Linked DNA regions of Drosophila melanogaster. The protein of the gene in region 1 interacts with the protein of each later gene in a pairwise test. Each region holds a gene or a part of one and is shown in the gene's direction. Other genes may lie near its edges. The genes, in order: CG11635, gNacalpha, alphaTry and CG10055.

The links.
Region 2: the proteins of CG11635 (region 1) and gNacalpha interact in a two-hybrid assay, tested with the Drosophila melanogaster proteins (one large-scale study listed by BioGRID).
Region 3: the proteins of CG11635 (region 1) and alphaTry interact in a two-hybrid assay, tested with the Drosophila melanogaster proteins (one large-scale study listed by BioGRID).
Region 4: the proteins of CG11635 (region 1) and CG10055 interact in a two-hybrid assay, tested with the Drosophila melanogaster proteins (one large-scale study listed by BioGRID).

The regions. Positions count from the first base shown.
Region 1 is NT_033778.4:8,356,105-8,360,581, forward strand, and holds CG11635 (uncharacterized protein), read left to right. Parts: upstream 1-2,433; 5' UTR 2,434-2,502; coding exon 2,503-3,363; 3' UTR 3,364-3,368; downstream 3,369-4,477. Other genes in the region: spaw (spacewatch), read right to left, coding at 3,409-4,477.
Region 2 is NT_033779.5:1,035,379-1,040,162, forward strand, and holds gNacalpha (germinal nascent polypeptide-associated complex alpha subunit), read left to right. Parts: upstream 1-1,867; 5' UTR 1,868-2,000; coding exon 2,001-3,044; 3' UTR 3,045-3,128; exon of another isoform or gene 3,129-3,155; intron 3,156-3,200; 3' UTR 3,201-3,307; downstream 3,308-4,784.
Region 3 is NT_033778.4:11,343,043-11,347,254, reverse strand, and holds alphaTry (alphaTrypsin), read left to right. Parts: upstream 1-2,135; 5' UTR 2,136-2,162; coding exon 2,163-2,933; 3' UTR 2,934-2,995; downstream 2,996-4,212. Other genes in the region: betaTry (betaTrypsin), read right to left, coding at 152-913; epsilonTry (epsilonTrypsin), read left to right, coding at 1,208-1,978.
Region 4 is NT_033777.3:7,182,645-7,188,633, reverse strand, and holds CG10055 (uncharacterized protein), read left to right. Parts: upstream 1-1,960; 5' UTR 1,961-2,062; coding exon 2,063-2,328; intron 2,329-2,423; coding exon 2,424-2,820; intron 2,821-2,876; coding exon 2,877-4,040; 3' UTR 4,041-4,533; downstream 4,534-5,989. Other genes in the region: lap (like-AP180), read right to left, coding at 1,087-1,222; sas (stranded at second), read right to left, coding at 5,523-5,530, 5,599-5,823. UniProt on the Drosophila melanogaster protein: Required for the quantitative accumulation of H/ACA ribonucleoproteins (RNPs).

The DNA.
Region 1 (4,477 bases):
ATGGTCCAATATAGCCAAGCACTTAACCCAGTCGCTAATTGTCGCCGGGTGTTAACAAACTGATTACCAGCGTTTCCCAATCATAAGCTGCTGTTCGCTTTGCATGACTTACGCTCCCCACCTGCGAAATTGGCAGCATAATTTGGCGCATGTCATGTTAGTTGTGGCTAATGCTGCGTGTATTTCCCCTCCTTTTTTCTTTCTTAATGCGGTTTACGAATATTTTTTGTTGGTCCCCTGCAATTATACTGCGATTAGAAAGTTTTCGTCCGCCCGTTGGCTTATTGATATACGACTGCCGTCTAGTATTTCTGCATGTGTAGATTTAGGCGGACTTTGCGACCGGGCTAATGGCACATTTATTTATTATGGCCATTTGGACGAATTACGCTCGCGTGCTCTGCTCCGTGCCACCAACTTCCTCTCCGGCATCCTCGCACTCTCTCGTCGCAGCATTTGGGCCCACCAGGCGAGCAGAAGGTTCCATTTGGCCGAATGTCTCCTAGCCAAGTCGCTCAGCTTTCTCCGCTACTTCTAGGAACCCCACGCACTCTTGAGCCAAGAAAACTTCGACTGAGAGCATGGCTTTTGGACATTCCAGTGAAAATACCTTGGGTGTTGGCGAGCAAAAGCAGTGAAGAGTAATTCAGGCCAGGAATTTAGTGTGTGGGATATACAGAGATATACATATTTTATGAAAATTGCTGGAATCATACAATTTGTGTTTATTCTATAATATGGTGTGATATGTTGCCATTTATTTGCCAGTGCCTGAAATATGAGCTATACCTTTCTATATGCCTTATTCTATATTTTTTTGGTTTCATTTTATCTGTGAAATGCAGAAGCATAAAAAATTATCTTAAATCTTAATAATATAATTAGTTGCAGCTGCACACACAGCGACAACAATCTCCTGGCAAATATGATTTTCCCTACTCTCCCAGTGCGCACAATTTGATTATGCCATGTCCAGCAGCTATTTTAGATTTGATTTTTCTGCACGTTTCTCAGTTTTCGCAGCGTGATGTTTTTGTTCGCAACCAAACCCCTTTTCACTCGTTGAGTATTTTTCATATTTTAATTTAAATTAGAGGGCAACACCCACTAAGCCACTCACTGGATGACGATGACTACGAGGAAGATGATGATGGCGATGGCGATGGCGATGGCGATGGCGATGGTGATGATGACGGCAGCTGCAGACAGTGGAAAGCTGGTCGTAACTCAGTCAGACACTCGCTCCGAGCTTAACGCGCTGATGTATGCTAATGAGCCGGCATTGTCGCCGGATCCGTCTGCTTCCCTTGCTCCTTGCTCATCTCTGCCTCCTGATCCTGCTCCGGACCTAACTCGATTGCCGGGGGAGGAGCTGCAGCCGGAGAGCTACCATAAATATGCATAATGCAATTAACAGCCAAATGTAATTGCAAGCCAGAACAAGGAGTAAAAAATAGAAAGAGGAAAATAAAGACAGACTGGCATTAGCAGCTGACAAACCACCCGCATGGCAGTCACTGTCCCGTCACATCACTTCACATCACATCTCTCTTGGTGAAGCATGACAGTCGCTCTGCTCCTTTGGCTTTGCATATGCCCGACTTTTCCGATTCTCTGATTTTCCGACTTTCCCGGCCTGGCCAACCTGTTCGCTCGCACACTTAATTAGGCTATTAAACAATTGCAGAACGCATGCTTGCTAGGCCTGTCTCCAACCAGTTTGCAACTCGCAGTTCCGCCTCGGTCCAATCCAAAATCCGATCCGATCCCAGCCGAATAGCATCGAATCTGCCGCGAATCTGTGCCAAATTTCGCATAGGCACTGCCTAGCCAACTTAAGGCCAAATCGAAAAACCGACAAAACTGAATAACCGTTGCGTGCCTAGGCCCAGTCAGCGTCTTTCGATTTGGCCGTGCCTGTGTCTTTACACTGGAAAAAATTGCAACCAATACGGACGAATAGTATACATTCAATACTCTTGTTACTGTTTGTTTATCATCGTGGATGGATTTATCTCGAGTTGATTATCTGAACTGAGTAGATATGCGAATTCTGGATATGTTTATTGTATTTCTTCCAGTGTGGCCTGCCTTTTCCTCCGTCTATCTGCGCGTATGGCCAACTCCGCTGGATTTACTTGACTTGGCCTGGCTGATTGGGCGCGCGTTGTTTTGCATTTCCAGGCCAGAAACAGCGGCTGCGTAATAAAATGCATTTTAATTTGGCTAAATGTTCAATTAAATTTAAACATGCGCAGTCCGCTGTTTGCAATTTTGTGTTGCCTGTCGCCGTTGCATTGAAGTTGAGTTGCAGGAGAAGTGAATGTGTGCGACAGGACCCTCTTCCGATTTTCTCCAATTTTCAACCAGCTCTTTTTCGTCCAGTAGGCCTCGATCGAAATTTCGGATACCAAGCAAAAAATTTTAATTTAGCGATTCATGTAACGGCGTTACGGTATACAAAAATTTTCAAAATTCCACTTTCATTAAAAGTTTCGGCTAATGTTTTGGTCCTCCCTACTAAGGGGCTTCAGCTCACGTCAGAGCGGCTCCTCGAATAAACCCCCAAAACCTCCAAGTCCACCGAAGCCACCATCGTCACCATCTCCACCAAAGTCTCCTTCTGCCAAACGAGAATGCAAGATCCGGACGCACTGCATTCCGGCCGCCTTCTGCGCCGAAGGGGATAAGTTCAAGTCGATGTGGGATCCGCCGAAGAACCTGCCTCCGCCGTACCCCTTCGTGGTCAGCCGATCAAATGACTTGTGCTGCGAACCCAACTGCACCAAACCACTGCCCTCATTCGACGAGCTGTATTACCGTCCCTCCTGCAAGAACGGTCCTTACCAGCGCCACTGGGTGGAGTGCCCCAAGTTCATGATCCGCAAGAAGATAATCTGCGCCTACGACAAGCTGGAGGCTCTGAGCCCCGCCCGTCGGGTGGCCGAGCGGCGCGAGCGGACAACGCTCAGTGCCACAGCCACAGGACCATGTCCCCATTTCGCTCCGTTGGCACGATGCGTGCCAGGACGTCGTCCGCCCAGATGCCACGCGGCCAAGACGCCCTCCTGCTGCCGCAGGTTGTGTGCACCGATGCCCTGCTGGTCGGATTGTAAGCAGCCTAAGCTGGCCAAGCGACCATATCGACCTCGCGAGTGCGAGTGCCGATTCCCCCTGAGCCTCTGCGAAGCGGAGCGGGGTCGTCAGTGGGTCAAAATTCATGGTGAGAACCACGTCTGTCCCAGTGCCATAAAAAAGGCCAAGAAGGCGAGAAAAGACATGCTCAAGAAGATGAAAAAGGATAAGAAGGATAAGGGCACGGATAAGAAGAAAGATAAGAACAAGGATAAAAATAAAAAATAAGTTTTAAAGGTTATGTTTATTTCTTTGGTCATTGGTGCTCTTGTATTACTCGGTTTCAGCCTCCAGAATTGTTGCTTTGTACTTGCTTTGGCCAGACTCCAGATCGATTAAAGCCTGCTTCAGAGCCATGCGCATAAGTAAGCGGGACTCGGACTCGGTCAGCTGAGCAGAAACTTTGTACCGTTCTCTATCTAAATGGATACCTGTGCCGAATTGGGGTTCCTGGTTCAACGGCTGCTCTTCAATTGACTCGGTGCTAAGGCTACTAGTAGGCTTCTTGGCAGGAACTTCGATAGTCCTAAAGGGCCTGTAGGTGTGTATGGTTTCCTTAGGCTGAGTGTCCTGCGTGTCATCAGTCTTGGGAGTATTCTCATTGGTTTTTGAAGGACTGGACTCTTGAGTATCGCCAGCAGACGCAATTTGCTCGATTTTGTGAGATTGTTTTATTAGCTCCTCCCCGAAGTCCTCATCGGAAATCGAAGACTCTGAAACTACCGAACTAGATTGATTAGTTATTTCACCGGTTAACTCAGAATCCAAAGACTGATTTGCTTCCATCTCGTGATCCAATTTAAGTTGATCGGTGATATCCCTCGTTAGTTCGGAATCAAAAGACTGGTTCGAAATCTCGCTATGATCTAGGCTCTCTACATCACCCAATCCAGATGGTTCTGAGAGCGCACTGGCTACCTCCGAATGCATAGAATCTGCAACACCTAGCTCAGATTGATGGGAACTAGCTCTATCCACTGACTGATTTGATTCCTCCTCATGATTCAAACTTTCACTGATTTTGGGTTGGTTGAGTGCAAAGGAAGCCACATCCGGTTCAGAGTTAACCATCCCCATTGTTTTTTCACCTCCTCCCATAGTATTCAAAATAAGTGAAATCTGACTAAGCTCTTGCATCATGAAGTCCACATTCCTTCGAACGGATGTGAGAGATGTTTTCTCAAAGCTGGTAAAAGGTTCTTGGGACGCCTGATTCTTGACAAGCTGTTCTCGCAGGGAGCGCGTTCTTGCGAATTGTAATTCTTCTTGAATTCCTGATTGGTCTCCTTCAGCGAATGGCAACTGATCATCCTGAGATTCATTGTTTGGCTGCCGGTATGGA
Region 2 (4,784 bases), on another chromosome or scaffold:
TTTCCTAGCAAAGACTGCTGATTCACTTACAACAATAGAATTAAGCCAAATAAGCATCAATCAGCAATGAAATTCATTAGCGGGAAGAGGAGACTCTCGAGCAGGCACAATATGAATGCCTTGGCCAAGATCTCAATTACGGAAACATCTTTGGTTATAACATGTCTACGACATGGTAATATGATTTCAATCATTTCTCGAAACTTGCATGATTAATGCGTTACAGATTTTTGCCCCCAGAAAGCGGCTTCTGTGGGCCTCGTTGCCTTGAAGGAGAGTGAAGACCTCGTCCTGGTGGGCCTCCGAATTGGGTTCATTTTTCATGCACAGGCCGTGGCAGCAGAAACTAAACTTCGAGGCTAAGACTAAGCCCCAATAAGTTGGATGGGCCCAGATGACACCGCAGCATATGGGGCGGATAATTAATCATGGGACGAACGTGCCAGGACGCCCAAAAACTTTTCACCCTTCTCCGGCTCTCCGGGTCTCCGAGTTCCAAGTCCGCGCAGAACTTAACTTAACCGAGCAACATTGAATCGAATCGACCGAGATGTTAAGATGCGAGGACTCATGGCTGGGCAAAGGGAATATCTGATTAGTTGGCCTCTCGAATTTAATTATGGTGACAGGACAGACTCTGCGGCGGCAGCCGGATGCATCCTCGGTCTCCTGCCCTCCACATCCTCCTAGTCCTCCTCCTGCTGCTTCATTCGCCTCTCCTGAATAATTTGTGCAACTCAATTAGGCGTTGACCCCACGATAAAGTTTAATAATTGCAGGTGGTGGACGCCCTTCTTTCGCTCGAACTTTAATTAAAAGAACCGAGCAATTAAAAACGCATCATCAGACAGAGCGCAGCGGCTTGCAGAAAAAATGCAATACATGCTCCCGATTACCACATACCTGTTATGTAGGAAATAGGAAAGGTCAGAATTCATGAAAATTATGCTAAATGTTATGTTAACTCCATTGGGGATTTGATCCATACGTGCTCATATTCTTATTGTACGGTTGTCTCGAATTGTGATGTAATTTCCGTAACACGAAGAGCGCCCTAATAGGGCGTGGCACTTTTTTAATGCACTTAGCAAGTGTTTTTTCGCCACACGCAGAACGCAAAACAGGATCACACAGCCCCGCCCTGAACCGCCTGATCTGGGAAATTCGGGAGCCGGAAAACCGCAAGGAAAACCGCACGTGTAACCGCGCTTGCTCCACCGCGTCGTGTTTGTGGGGCTGCTCCGCTTTGGAGGCAGACTGCGGTGCGACCACGACAGCAATTAACACGGAGGAACCAGCTTCAGATTCAGGTCTTTGGCATTTTCCGGGCATCCGAGTTTTACGACTTTGCATATTCGAATATTACCCAAATAACCGCTGAACTTTTCATTTCTCCACCACTTTTAAACTGGCTTTGTCAGGTGAAAATTTTCAAGCACGTCACTGCAGTGGATTGATTTGCAATCATCAATTTCGATAGAATTTGCGAGGCGCTGCAGCAAAACTTTTATAACCGCGAAATTAAGTGCACAGTTCGAAGGCAGCTGACATTCTCGTTTGAAAAATACCAACTTTCTTCAGAGCAGCGCTGCTAACGCCTATAATCAGTTCACGATTGCACTGGGACCTATCGATATCGATAGACTTAGGCGTGCTCTGCATGTTCGAATGGCCGAGTGGCCATTTTAAAAACTTATAATCTTTCCGAAAGCAACACTTGATATTGTTTATTTCGCTATTTAGGTGCCATTAGCATAAAAAATTTCCAGTTTTCATTATGAAAAAACTTTTCGATAAGTATACCAAATTTCGCAACAGCACTTATCGAAGAGAGCAACACCAGCTGTCAAGCCACTGGAAGTTTCACCTCTGATATTTCCTGTCAAGTCTTTCCCGCAAGAGGTCACACCACGTGCGCTGCCAATTTGGAAATTTTTTTGGAGAAGTTGTCCTCGCAAATCTGTGATCGCAAATCCCTCAGTTGCTGTTTATTCCTCAAGATGGGTAAGAAGCAGAAAATGAAGAAGGCTGCCCAGATGGCGACCGCTGCCGAGAAATTGAAGACCGCTGCCGAGAAATCGAAGACCGCTGCCGACAACGTGGTGGCCAAAGAAAAGCCTGCCGAAGAAGCCTCTCCCTCACCAAGTGGCAGTGGAAAAAAAGGGAAGCCCAAGGCAACGCAAAAACCAAACGTCGCAAAGGCACTTCAGAAGGAGATCTCCAGTTCGGAAGACGCCTTGGATGTCAAGAATAAACCTCCGGCAGGCTTTAGTGGCGCAAAGGGGAAGCCCCACATCATGGGTCAAATGGACCCGGCCTACCGCAACAAGATCAAGAAGCTGATGAGCCTGGCCAAACAGCTGCCGCCCAATGTGTTCAGTCTGCCGAACTCGCAGAAGGAGGAGGGCGCCTCCGCCGCGAAATCCTGCGTAGTTGAGGATGATCAGAGCACGGACTCCGATGACGCCCCGGATCTCGTGGAAGCGGATCCCAAGGAGACCCAACCGGACGAGCAGGGTCAACTCGGTACGGTGGCCGTGCGAACACGTGAGGTATCAAAGCAGTCTCGCGGCGAGCGGAAGGCACGCCGGATCCTCATGAAGCTGGACCTGAAGCCCATGGAGAACGTGGCCCGAGTGACCATGAAGAAGGGCAAGAACATCCTCTTGTACATCGATCAGCCGGACGTCTACAGAGTGGCGCACTCGTCGACGTACATCTTCTTTGGGGAGATCTGCGTGGAGGACACTAGCACCACGTCCGTCGCCTCCCAGGCAGCTGTCAAGGCGGCCGAGCGATTCCGTGGAACCTCGCCTGCCGGGCGGCAAGGTAACGAGGATGGAAAAGCCCCTGGCGAGGAGTCCCCACACGACGACGACGACGACGAGAACGATGGCGAGGACGCGGATGCCATGGGCCTACATGCGAAGGACATCGAACTGGTACAGATGCAGGCCGCGTGCTCGCGCAAAAAGGCGATCCAGGCGCTGCTGAAGAACGACAACGATGTGGTCAATGCCATCATGGCCCTGACTGTGGGTTAAGTCGCTCTGAGTGGCTCCTTTGTATTCAAAGTCATGAAATAAAGAGAATTTCAATAACATCCATGTTCGCCATAGAAATTAATGGTAATTAAATGATTACAATCAAATCGTAAACTTTCATGTTGTTTTTATTTACTATACTTTCATGTAATCCAGACAATCCTTTCGGACTTCACTTCTCCTGGTGGATGGCTTGTTCTACAAGAATGACAATCTCCGGTGCCAATGTAGCTCGTACTATATTAAATGCCGATCATTTCCTGGTTTTTGAAAATGTTTTCGGTCCCAGCAGAAGAATCCCACTGAAGAACCCCTTTGTACAGCGAAATTGCCATCTTATTTCAATTTTCTAATGAATTGACATTTCCACCATTTCCATCTTGGCACAGTGAAAGCATTTTCCGAAGGGCGAAGAACGCATATGCGAACCCGAACCATTTTCATTATACTCGTATTTGCTCTTCCATCAGCGCTAGACTTTGGCAATTTTCCTTTCAGGTACCGTCATTCTTGGACATTTTCTCTGTGGCGGAAACTTAATCGCTTCTTTCTTTGTGCCGCTGACGCTGCACTCTTGTTTACTCTGCACTTAGTTTTTAGCCATTTGGCGAAGTCCCCCGGCACTCGACTTTGCATTTTTTGCTGGCGAATTTTTGACGACGCCGTGATTGCGTTTCAGCTCTTTCAGGGGATTTCAGGGGTACTCCCAGGTGAGACAGGTGACGTCGCTGCTGGTGACGTGGCTACGCAAGTCCTGCTCCGCGGACATTTGACTCAATTAAATGGCTCGACTACGTTCAACGTCCCTTTTCTGGCCCCAAAAGCCACTTAATGACTAGCTCCGGCTCTAACTGAACTTTTTTTAATTTTCAGCTGTCGTCAGCAGCCGTAAAAAAGGCTTTAGTTTTGCATTGTGGGCGCTCAACAGTCCGTGCGGCTGAGCACGTGCCCGCTTTTTCGCCGGAAAAGTGGAAATGGAAACTTTGTAGGTGGGACGCATTCACCTTCTTCGTTCTGTACACTCATATAGTGCGAGTAGAAAGTGCCCGCGCGTGTCGGCTTCGAATGGAAAGTTCTTGGGGCTCCATTCCCTTTCCGTGGAACTTTCTCCGCCGGAAATTGATTAAGTTGGCTCCCTTTAATCAGCGGAATTGAAGATGCTGCCGAAATACAAATCAGTTGACAGTCGGCAGCCGTACTGCGCAATTTACTGCCCAATCCAAATGGTACTTTGAAGTACTTTCCGCGTCGGCAATTTCCACTCCTTGCTGACCAAATCCCGGAGAAAGCGGCAACAACAGCGAAAGTTGTTAAATGCCTAATGACATCATTCGGTCTAGCACTTTCTCGAAATGAACTACTTGTAAAACGGAACGAAACATTGTTTAATATTATAATATTAGGTAGCCATATATTGCTTGGGATAACGGCAGTCATTGTTCCAATTAAATCGTCCGGTTCTGAGCCATTGTATCCACTTGGTCTTAAGAATTTAACATGTTTCTTTTGTGTAGGCTCCAAGGCATTCTTTATCTGAATGCCACCTTGTGTTCCTGTTTTACAAGAATTTTCTTTGACATGAAATGCTCTTGCTTTTCACTGGCTTTTGCCTGCCGCTTATAAACTTTCCCTTTTGGTTTTGCGGCCAACGTTTGGCCTGCTGCCCGTTCGCTTGAGAAGTTTTCCTTTTCGTGGTTATTCATTCGCTTTCAACTTGATTTGGGTTTCACATTTCGGTGC
Region 3 (4,212 bases), 3.0 Mb from region 1:
CAACTCACTATATCTAATAGTCATTGCACTCGAACAGTCATTACCATCTAAAAATGTGAACCCTGTGTCCTGATTTTTAACTAAGACCATCTTTTAAAATAAACTGACGACCGTCATAAACTGTTCATATATGATTTATTTCGAAAAATAATTAGGCGTTGTTGATCACCCAGGAGCGGAGGGCAGCAACATCGGCATAGACACCGGGGTAGTTAGCGGCAGCACATCCGTATCCCCAGGAGACAACACCGACGAGGACTCCGCCGGAGACCAGTGGGCCACCGGAGTCACCCTGGCACGAGTCCTTGCCGCTGGCAAAAGCGCAGATCATGGAGCTCTTGATCTGGTTTCCGTAGCCATAGGAGGAAGAAGAGCACCGGCTCTGGCTGACGATGTTCACGTTGACATAACGCAGCTGGGAGGGAATGGAGCTGGAGCCAGAGGACTCGGTACCCCATCCGGAGACGGAGGCAGCAGCACCGTTGGCGGGGTTGGAGCTAGCCAGACCGATGGCCTTGATGGTGGAGCTGAAGCTCAGAGAGGAGCTCAGATGGAGCACAGCGATGTCGTTGACCATGGTGTTGGCGTTGTAACCCTCGTGGTTCTTGAAAGAGGAAACCTTGGCGACGACGCCACCAGAGCTCCAGTAGCTGGATCCGGCGCGGATCTGCAGGGAGGAGGCGGACACGGACTGCAGGCAGTGAGCGGCGGTCACGATCACCCTGGCGGAGTAGATGGATCCACCGCAGGAGTGGCTGCCACTGCGCTGCAGGGAGATCTGCCAGGGGAAGCTGCTGATGGTGGTAGCAGTACCGCCGACAATGCGGCCATCCAACTGGGGCAGGAGACCCTCGGGGATGGTGCCTCCCAGGGCGCAGGCTACAGCCGACAACAGGATCAGGAACTTCAGCATGGTGCGATTGAATGGATACTCTTCGAACCGAAAAGTGTGCTTATATCGGGGGTCACTATCTCGGGAGGCGTTTAATCAATGGACAAGTGAGATTCCTCGTGGTTAAAGTGGATAACGATGTGGAGTGGTCGTCGTGTGATAAGCTGATTATTTCTAAATATCACCGCCTATATCGATGGTGAAAATGACGCAACAATTATGCTGAAGTTGCAGCTGTCAATCAAGTGGAGATATTTGCCGCGGGGACTGTATAAAAGGGGTTTTGATCCGCGAATCAGCATACAAACGATTAAAATGTTGAAATTCGCGGTACTTCTTTCCGTTTTGGCCTGCGCCTTGGCTGGCACCATTCCCGATGGCCTGCTGCCCCAGTTGGATGGTCGTATCGTCGGTGGTTATGAGACCAGCATCGACGCCCATCCCTACCAGGTGTCCTTGCAGCGCTATGGATCACACTTCTGCGGTGGATCCATCTACTCCCACGACATTGTGATCACCGCCGCTCACTGCCTGCAGTCGATTGAGGCCAAGGACCTGAAGATTCGTGTGGGCAGCACCTACTGGCGCTCCGGCGGCAGTGTCCACTCCGTTCGCTCCTTCCGCAACCACGAGGGCTACAACTCCCGCACCATGGTCAACGACATTGCTATTATTCGCATCGAGTCCGATCTGAGCTTCCGCTCCAGCATTCGCGAGATCCGTATTGCCGACTCCAACCCTCGTGAGGGCGCCACCGCCGTGGTTTCCGGCTGGGGCACCACCGAGTCCGGTGGCAGCACCATTCCCGATCATCTGCTGGCCGTTGATCTGGAGATCATCGATGTGTCGCGTTGCCGCTCGGATGAGTTCGGATACGGAAAGAAGATCAAGGACACCATGCTCTGCGCCTACGCCCCACACAAGGATGCCTGCCAGGGTGACTCCGGTGGCCCACTTGTCTCCGGAGACCGCCTTGTCGGTGTTGTGTCCTGGGGCTATGGATGCGGTGATGTGAGGTATCCCGGTGTCTACGCCGACGTTGCCCACTTCCACGAGTGGATCGAGAGGACCGCCGAGGAGGTGTAAAGCCAGACAAACACTTGAAATAAATCGCAATTGAATCAGCATTGATATCTGTTTCTCTATTTGGGCCCAATTGCGTCGCAGGTGTAAAGCCCTCGAAATTGCGGCTAGATAAGAATTGTAGCGTGGGCTGTATATAAGGTTGGACGGGCGGCATGTAAGCCAGCACTTGTTAGCAACGCCCATCATGTTGAAGATCGTGATCCTCTTGTCCGCCGTGGTCTGCGCCCTGGGAGGCACCGTCCCTGAGGGACTCCTGCCTCAGTTGGATGGCCGCATTGTCGGCGGCTCTGCTACCACCATCAGCAGCTTCCCCTGGCAGATCTCCCTGCAGCGCAGTGGCAGCCACTCCTGCGGTGGATCCATCTACTCTGCCAACATCATTGTGACCGCCGCTCACTGTCTGCAGTCCGTGTCCGCTTCAGTCCTGCAGGTCCGTGCTGGATCCACCTACTGGAGCTCTGGTGGCGTCGTCGCCAAGGTTTCCTCTTTCAAGAACCACGAGGGATACAACGCTAACACCATGGTCAACGACATCGCTGTCATCCGTCTGAGCTCTTCCCTGAGCTTCAGCTCAAGCATCAAGGCTATTAGCCTGGCCACTTACAACCCAGCTAACGGAGCCTCTGCCGCCGTTTCCGGTTGGGGTACCCAGTCGTCCGGATCCAGCTCCATCCCCTCCCAGCTGCAGTACGTGAACGTGAACATCGTTAGCCAGAGCCAGTGTGCTTCCTCCACCTACGGATACGGTAGCCAGATCCGCAACACCATGATCTGCGCTGCTGCCAGCGGCAAGGATGCCTGCCAGGGTGACTCCGGTGGCCCACTGGTCTCCGGCGGAGTCCTCGTCGGTGTTGTCTCCTGGGGATACGGATGCGCTTACTCCAACTACCCCGGTGTCTATGCCGATGTTGCTGTCCTCCGCTCTTGGGTGGTGAGCACTGCTAACAGCATCTAAGCTGGTACCCAGTAGGTTGGATGTGTCAAAAGCCTTCAATAAATATTTGCCATTCAGAACATAGATGATTTGTATTTGGTCTGGGTACTTTAACATAAGAGGGTTTACAAAATATACAGAAAGCTTTTGTATTTACTTCTATGTAGTTTAAGTTAGTGGTTAAGCCTAAAGAATAAAGTAGTGGAAGTTGAATGTATTACACATACCACTTATTACACCTTTCGTATTAACAATAGGGAAACAGTTCTCGAGGTTGCCCGCGTCACAGGTCTTATCTTTTGTAGGGTTCACGGGTATTCACATAAAGTAAGATAATTCAACGCACCTTCTGTGATTTTCACCGATTTCAATGGGCTCGAGTGGCTAAAGGTAAACATTTGTCCAGGACCAATCTAATCAACTTCGAGTGCATCGCGTGGCTAGGGTTCCAATTCATCTTCCATTGATAAGTTGAGTGATGGTCTGGACAGCTGTGGCAAGATTAATTAGCCGGAAAAAAATGAATAGATAAGATTGCACAGATTTGGACACTCGAAGTTGAACGTTTTGGTGAACCGTGACTGGTGAAATACTGGACGGTGTGAATAGATGGTAGGAATGGATTGTCTTCTGTTCTTTTTCTTATATTTGTGAATTAAACGCAACAACAATTGCAAAGAATAAACAATTTGCCATATTTTTTAACCGATAATGCTGTTTATAAAAAGTTCCATTATCAATTCCATAATAAAGTTGAAATTTGCCATTTTTAAGTAGAAATTTTGATTGGCAGAGGGTCGTTCATATAGCCACCCCTTATTTTAACGGGTATTTCCAACTCGACGTAGCATTGGTGACGTTTGTGCTAATTTGTGCTTTTAATGGGCCATTAAAATTGTCTCTTCTATGACTTAACCTACTTTTTGGGAATTACGTGTCGTAGAAATCACCTTTGCCATTTCGTAAATGTGGTAAAAGTTATATCTTTGCATGTGAAATTTTCAGTAAACCTCAATTGGGTGAAGGAGTGTCTTGCCTAAGACTCACATATCCACGAACCCCAAAGTCAAGTGAGAAAATATGTCGGAACATTTGGTATGAAATCAAATATATCCTAGTAAATATCTTTTTTACACAAAATTTATTTTTGCACATAGTTCTTGAATAATAATCGTTATAGAAAAGCCATAAATGTTTTATTTGGGTCATCGCTTATTTTTTAAACGGGGAATACTATAAAGGTGTGTCTTGTGAAAAGCTCCTCTAATCACCTAGAATGACAAGGTCATTCTAGCTTGAG
Region 4 (5,989 bases), on another chromosome or scaffold:
ACGTTTTGGATAAAGTAATCAACTTGAATAAACAGCACATGTGGCCAAATTTTGGGTTATATTGGAAATTGGTTTGCGGCAACTGCAATACAATGTTTATGTGACAAGTAACGCCCCACAATATTGCCCTCTTTTATTCCCATTTACTCGTAGCCATATCTGATGAGTCATCTGAAAAGTGCCAACAAGCTAAATAAAAGGGGGTCAAAATGCGAGCAAAACTAGCCAAAAAAACAGATTCCAACGGGAATGAATGTCGTTAGGATATGGAGCTCTTTAGAAGTATTTGCAAAATTCAAACGTGTAAGCAAATCCAGCAAATTAGGGAAGACTCTTGCATAAATTTAACAAGCAATGACACCGTGACAAACACAATCCCTGCTTTCGTAGGCGTTTTAAGCCATTCAAAGCCCCTACAAACACACGTGCACCCGTGGGAAAGTGACGTAACATTAGAGAGAGAGAGAGAGTGTGTTGGTAGAAAGAGAGGGGAGTCCAATCAATGACGAACGGAGTCCACAAACACCAGCAGCTGAGCCACAGATGCAATTTGAGGGTGGTGGTTTGTGTTTGTGGGACTTTGTGGACCGTAATCAGTGGTTTCGTTTTCAGAAAACTTTGTGATTTATCGCACAAAAACAAAAGGCACGTGAAAATGGAGCGAGGAAGCCAAGAAACCCGAACTGGTTGCATCTGAATGTTGTTGCTAAATTACTTTTGCAGCGTACTAACTGTGCCGATGGTTTTTATATTTAGGCTACATTTAAATTTTTTATTTTCTTTGCTAATTTGTTAGGCACTCCTTACTTTAGTATATTATTCATTCCAATTTTTATTATTATTAAAATTTAAGTTAATTTCTAAACAGATTTTATTGCGACTTATGTTTGCAAATAAAAATAAATTAATTTTAAAGCGTTACAAAGTAACAATAATATTTTCGTGTGTTTGATGGGTACATTTCCACTAGTAGCACAAGGCTGTGCCTCTTTTCTCTCTGTGTTATAACAAGGAAATGTAACGGTGATTTACGCAATGAAAGACCAAGAGAGTGGGCAAGGGAAAGAGATAGACAGGGCAACTCACAGTCCAAGTGCTTCTTCTTCGGGCCAATGCATTCCTCCGTGGTGGCCTTGCAAACGGACTTGGCGAGTCCTTGGCCCGCAAGGCTGTGACGGGCGGCCAGCAGCCTGTCGTTGATCGTTTGCCCTGCCATGGTCATGATGAAGCTGTTGCTGTTGTTGTTTCTGCTGCCGCTCGCTGGTTTTTATTTACTTGATTAATTTAATTATGCACCAAAGGAGCTGACCACACCGACACACACACACACTCGAAAGCAGATACAGAGAGAGGGAGAGAGAGACACACACACACACGCGTATGGGGCGAGCGAGAGACAGAGAGGTATTGATTGATTGAGAATATTTCGAACGGGAAAACTCTGCTATGCGAGCCTCACGATTAAACTAACAGTAAAGATTTAGTGGTTCCTACGTCACAATCACTACACAATTTATCGCCGCGGTTTATGCGCTCTCTAACCGGTGCCTAACGCTGAAACGCGATTTTTTAATTCTCTATTTTTCCTCTGCCACAAATCGATAATGGCGACTGGCAAATGGAGCGAGCGTATGAGCAATGTCCTAAAGCGTCCACAAAGTGGAGCTAACGCGTGCAATCGACTTGAGTTTACGGCGTTAGGTGGGAAAATATCGATTGCCATAACGTAAGCGAATACGAAATAGCTGAACTTAGCTTTTACGATGTGTTCATATAAGTTCTGAAAATAAAAAAAAATAATGATAAATAAATAAATAAAAATATAAAATATTAAGATACTATAAATAAATCTTTTTTTATAACTTAGCACTTAAAATTCCCCAACAGCAGTTAAAAAGTAGCTAGATTTGTCGGAAGTGTAGCCAAACGTAACGTAAGCTAAGGGGCTGTCAACAGGAATTTTTAGTTTCGAGTAGGCGGTCATACTGGTCATTAAAATAAATAAAATTATACTAAAAAACAGTAGTTAGCACAATCAACAGTCTCGTAATAAAATTGTAAGATGTTGAATGGACAGATTGCACACAGTTATTTGGAGAACTCGTGCACGCTGATCATACCCCGCCCGCCTGTCCTGAATCAGTCCTCAAAGTCGGCCCAGCCAGCAGCAGCTGCTGCTGCTTCTTCTTCCGCTGGTGAGGAGTTTGGTCAGGAAGCGGGGTCGGGGTTGGCGGAAGCGGAGGCGTTGCATGTGGATCGCATAAGAAACTGCGATATATTCGTTGACGCGCACGATCTTTATTTCTACGCAGATGTTAAGCTGTACAAGTGAGTCACATCCGGCAATCTGTCGTGCCCATGGTGGGCCATGGTGGCGAAATTCCAGCGATATCATTGCGTACTTGTACTCCCTTTTCGGACAGATTCCACAGCCGTCGCACCTTCGACTTGCGAGAGCTGAAGACGCTGTTGATAAAGTTCAACACGACAGAGAATCACTACCAAATTTGCCTGCGCTGTCTGCCCCTAACAGCGGGTGCCCAGGAAGGACCCGGTGGAGAAAGAGGCGGAGGCGGTGGTACGGGGGATGCAGCCAAGCAGTGGAATAGTCGCAAAGAGTACATAGCCGCATTCCTGCACCTACCCACACTGAGTGCCAATTTGCCGGACAAGCAGCCTCTGGTGCAGGAATGGAAACTCAAACGAATCACCGATCAGTGCCAATTGCAGCTCGACGACCACGAGCGCACCTACAAGCTGACCAACAATTTTGGGTACGGCTATGCTAGCGAATACAGCGGACCGCTAGACCTGAGTGAGGTGAGTTCAATTGGTTAACCTGCTCTTCCGCGCACTAAACACAGATGTTTTCACAGTTGGACAGAGCCACGTGCCGCGTGTCGGAGCCACATCGCATGAGCCCCATCCAAAGGCGGCAAGAGCGCGTGGTCGATGAGATGAAGCGCTTTTCCCGCGAGCAGTACAAAATAAATTTTGTGGAGCTACAGGTTCCGTCCGGTCACCAGAATCCTTTACGCTACAAACCGAAAATCTACGAGACTTCCATGACCCAGGAGCAAGCGCATCTGCTGCACAACATCAGCCGAATGCAGACACGGGAGCAGCAGCCGTGCGACGTTTTTCGGCAAAACGAGATCGATTGCGGGCTGATAAGCATTCTGTTGGCCATATGCTATGATGTGCGGACGACGAACAATGAGCCGACGTGTGAATCGGGCTGGACGCGAAGCATACTGTGCCCGCTTTATTGCTACTTTGAGCAATTCGACAACTATCGGGACGTACTGGTTGCCTTCCTGCGGCGAATGATCACCTACCCGCTGTACCGCAATTTCGAGTTGGGCCGCCAATGTGTACGGGATGCCATAGAAGTTTTAAAGGGCGGTCGCAACTGGTTAATTAATCAGCTGCTGCTAACGCACCAGCAGTTCGCCAGCAGTGATCCCAGTCGCGATAGCTTCAACAACTACTATTTGGAGGACTATATACGATATGTGACCAGCCCGAGCGCCTGCAGTGATGAGCACATGCGCCTTCTTGCCCGCAACCTTAAGAACGTGCTGATGGACGTAAACAAGCAACACTTGGGCCTGGGAGTGACCGAGATTGAGACTGAGCTGATCAAGGAGCTGATGCAGGAGATGCGCATCGATGCGGGAAGCCAGGGTTCCTCGCCGCAGCAGCAGCATGGCGATGATGACTTGGACCTTGATAACGATACTTCTGGACAGGAGGACGAGACTACCACTGATGATGAAAGCGTCATAACTGACTCCTTCTACAGCGTGGACATGGACATGCGACTGATAGAGAACGAAATTGTATATGAGGATGACGAGGAGGACGAAGATGACGATGAAGATGGAGATGATGATGAAGATGGGGATGGGGATGAGGATGAGGATGAGGATGAAGACGAAGACGACAGCAGTTCTTCCACAACCACCAGTAGCGAGGCGGAGGGAAACAGCGTCATCGAGCAGTGCAGCAACAGTGAGACAGCAGCCAGCACCACATAAATTGCCACTTATGTCGAGTTCGGCAAGTCCTGCTCCTGCCTTGCCCAAAACAAACAAGCAACACAACCAACTTAATGTCAAAGAACGGAGGCTAAACAGTGATTACTTTTAAAATTAAAACAAAGTAAAATACGAAACTAAAAACCAAGCCAAGTAAATGATGTAAGTTTACACAAGAATACCCAAAAAAGAAGAACTTCTTATATCTTAATTGTACAATAATTTAACGAAAAGCAAACTCAAAGATTTGTTCACGCCAAATGCGAAAAGATATTTGAATATTTTTTCCCCTTTGCTCTACAATTACTTCGATTATAATTACACATACAAGTAAATCAGAACTTTAGCATTTAGTATGGCATTAGAGTATGAAACATTTGAATTTTGAATTCTGAAAAGCGAAATCTAGTTGTGCATTTGTATATACATCTATCGATATTGTTGGTGCTGCAAGCAAAGAAAACAAAATATGAATAAAATAAAATGGAAATGGAAAACAACCTCCAAACTTATCTACACAGTGGGCAAAAGTCATTAATGATTTACATGTTAATGTTGTATGAGTGTCTTATAAAAAGAAAGACATGAAGTATGAACGAAAATTCTAATAAAATGGATAATACATATTTTTTTAAAAACATCGCGACATGAGTTCTTTATTATTTTATTCTTCGTATCAACCAAGCTGTCGTTTAAAAAAGTGACAAATAGGTAGGTAAGCTTTTTGAAGGAGAAGTTATTTTTCATTTTACTTACAAACATTTAAGTATCAGTATTTAAAATGCATATAAAACATACTGTTACTTTTAGTACGCTTAAATCAGAAGATCAGATACTTTGTATCTTCAACACAATTTTGATGGTTCAATCCGATAAGAAAAACATTTGCTTGGGTTTTATTATCTTTTCTTTATTTATCCATACTCACATACATACATATATGCATATCTATGTACGTTTTAAAAGCTAATTTAAATATTTATGGACTGTTAATTGAAGAACGCATCGTATTGCTGGTGCTGCGGATTCTGTTGATGCTGATGCGCCCTTTAATTACGATTAGTGTAAAGCTACAATTTACAAGTTAAACTAACTAAACTCGTATGCATTTTGAAATCGCCAATAGAATCGATACGCCCAGCGAGGCCAATTTGAGTTGTGGAGCTGTTGTCAATTGGTTCTTCTATAGGGTGTCTGCTTCTGTCTCAATCTCTCTCTATTTACACAAGTCACAAATTGTTTAACAAAAGGTATGTGCTTTTAGATTACTTAACCACTACATTCAACATGGCGGCCATTTCGATTTGAACAAATTTTTTGATATTGCGCCGGTTTCAGAAAATTGCTTGCTCCATCTGATTTAATGTGATTGATTCAGGATTTTCCTTTACTGACACTGAGTTATTCTTCCACATCCATTTCCTTCAATATTTACAAGAATCTGCTTTAACTCTAGTTGCTTTTTAGGGCATTGTGCGCCATTTACAGATCTGGAATTCAAGATCATAGCATCAGAAACTCTATCAGAAAGTCTATTGGGATTTTGAGATTTACTTACTCATAGTCTCCTGTTGGATCTCCACCTTGTATGAGGGATTATCGTAGGCAGCGTCGCTTTTTCGTGGTGGCGTAATGGATGCCGTTTGATGAACTCGTCTCCTGGTGATAATAAGTAGCAGGGCCAAAGTAGACATGATCGCCAGAGCGGCGATCACAGAAACCACCACAAGGGGGCCGTAGTAATCGCCTACGGGTTGGTCCGTTCCCGCCGTTAGGAGTTTTCCTGTTAAAAGCACAGTCGAATTAGAATAATTGTCAAATCAATGTAGTAAAATATAAAATTCCAATGTTAATAAACTGAATATGGCGTATTGGAATTTAAACTCAAGACTGAATTTCACCTCACCAAATAGTTTAAATCCTCTACATACTCCTTCGAAAAATTGCAA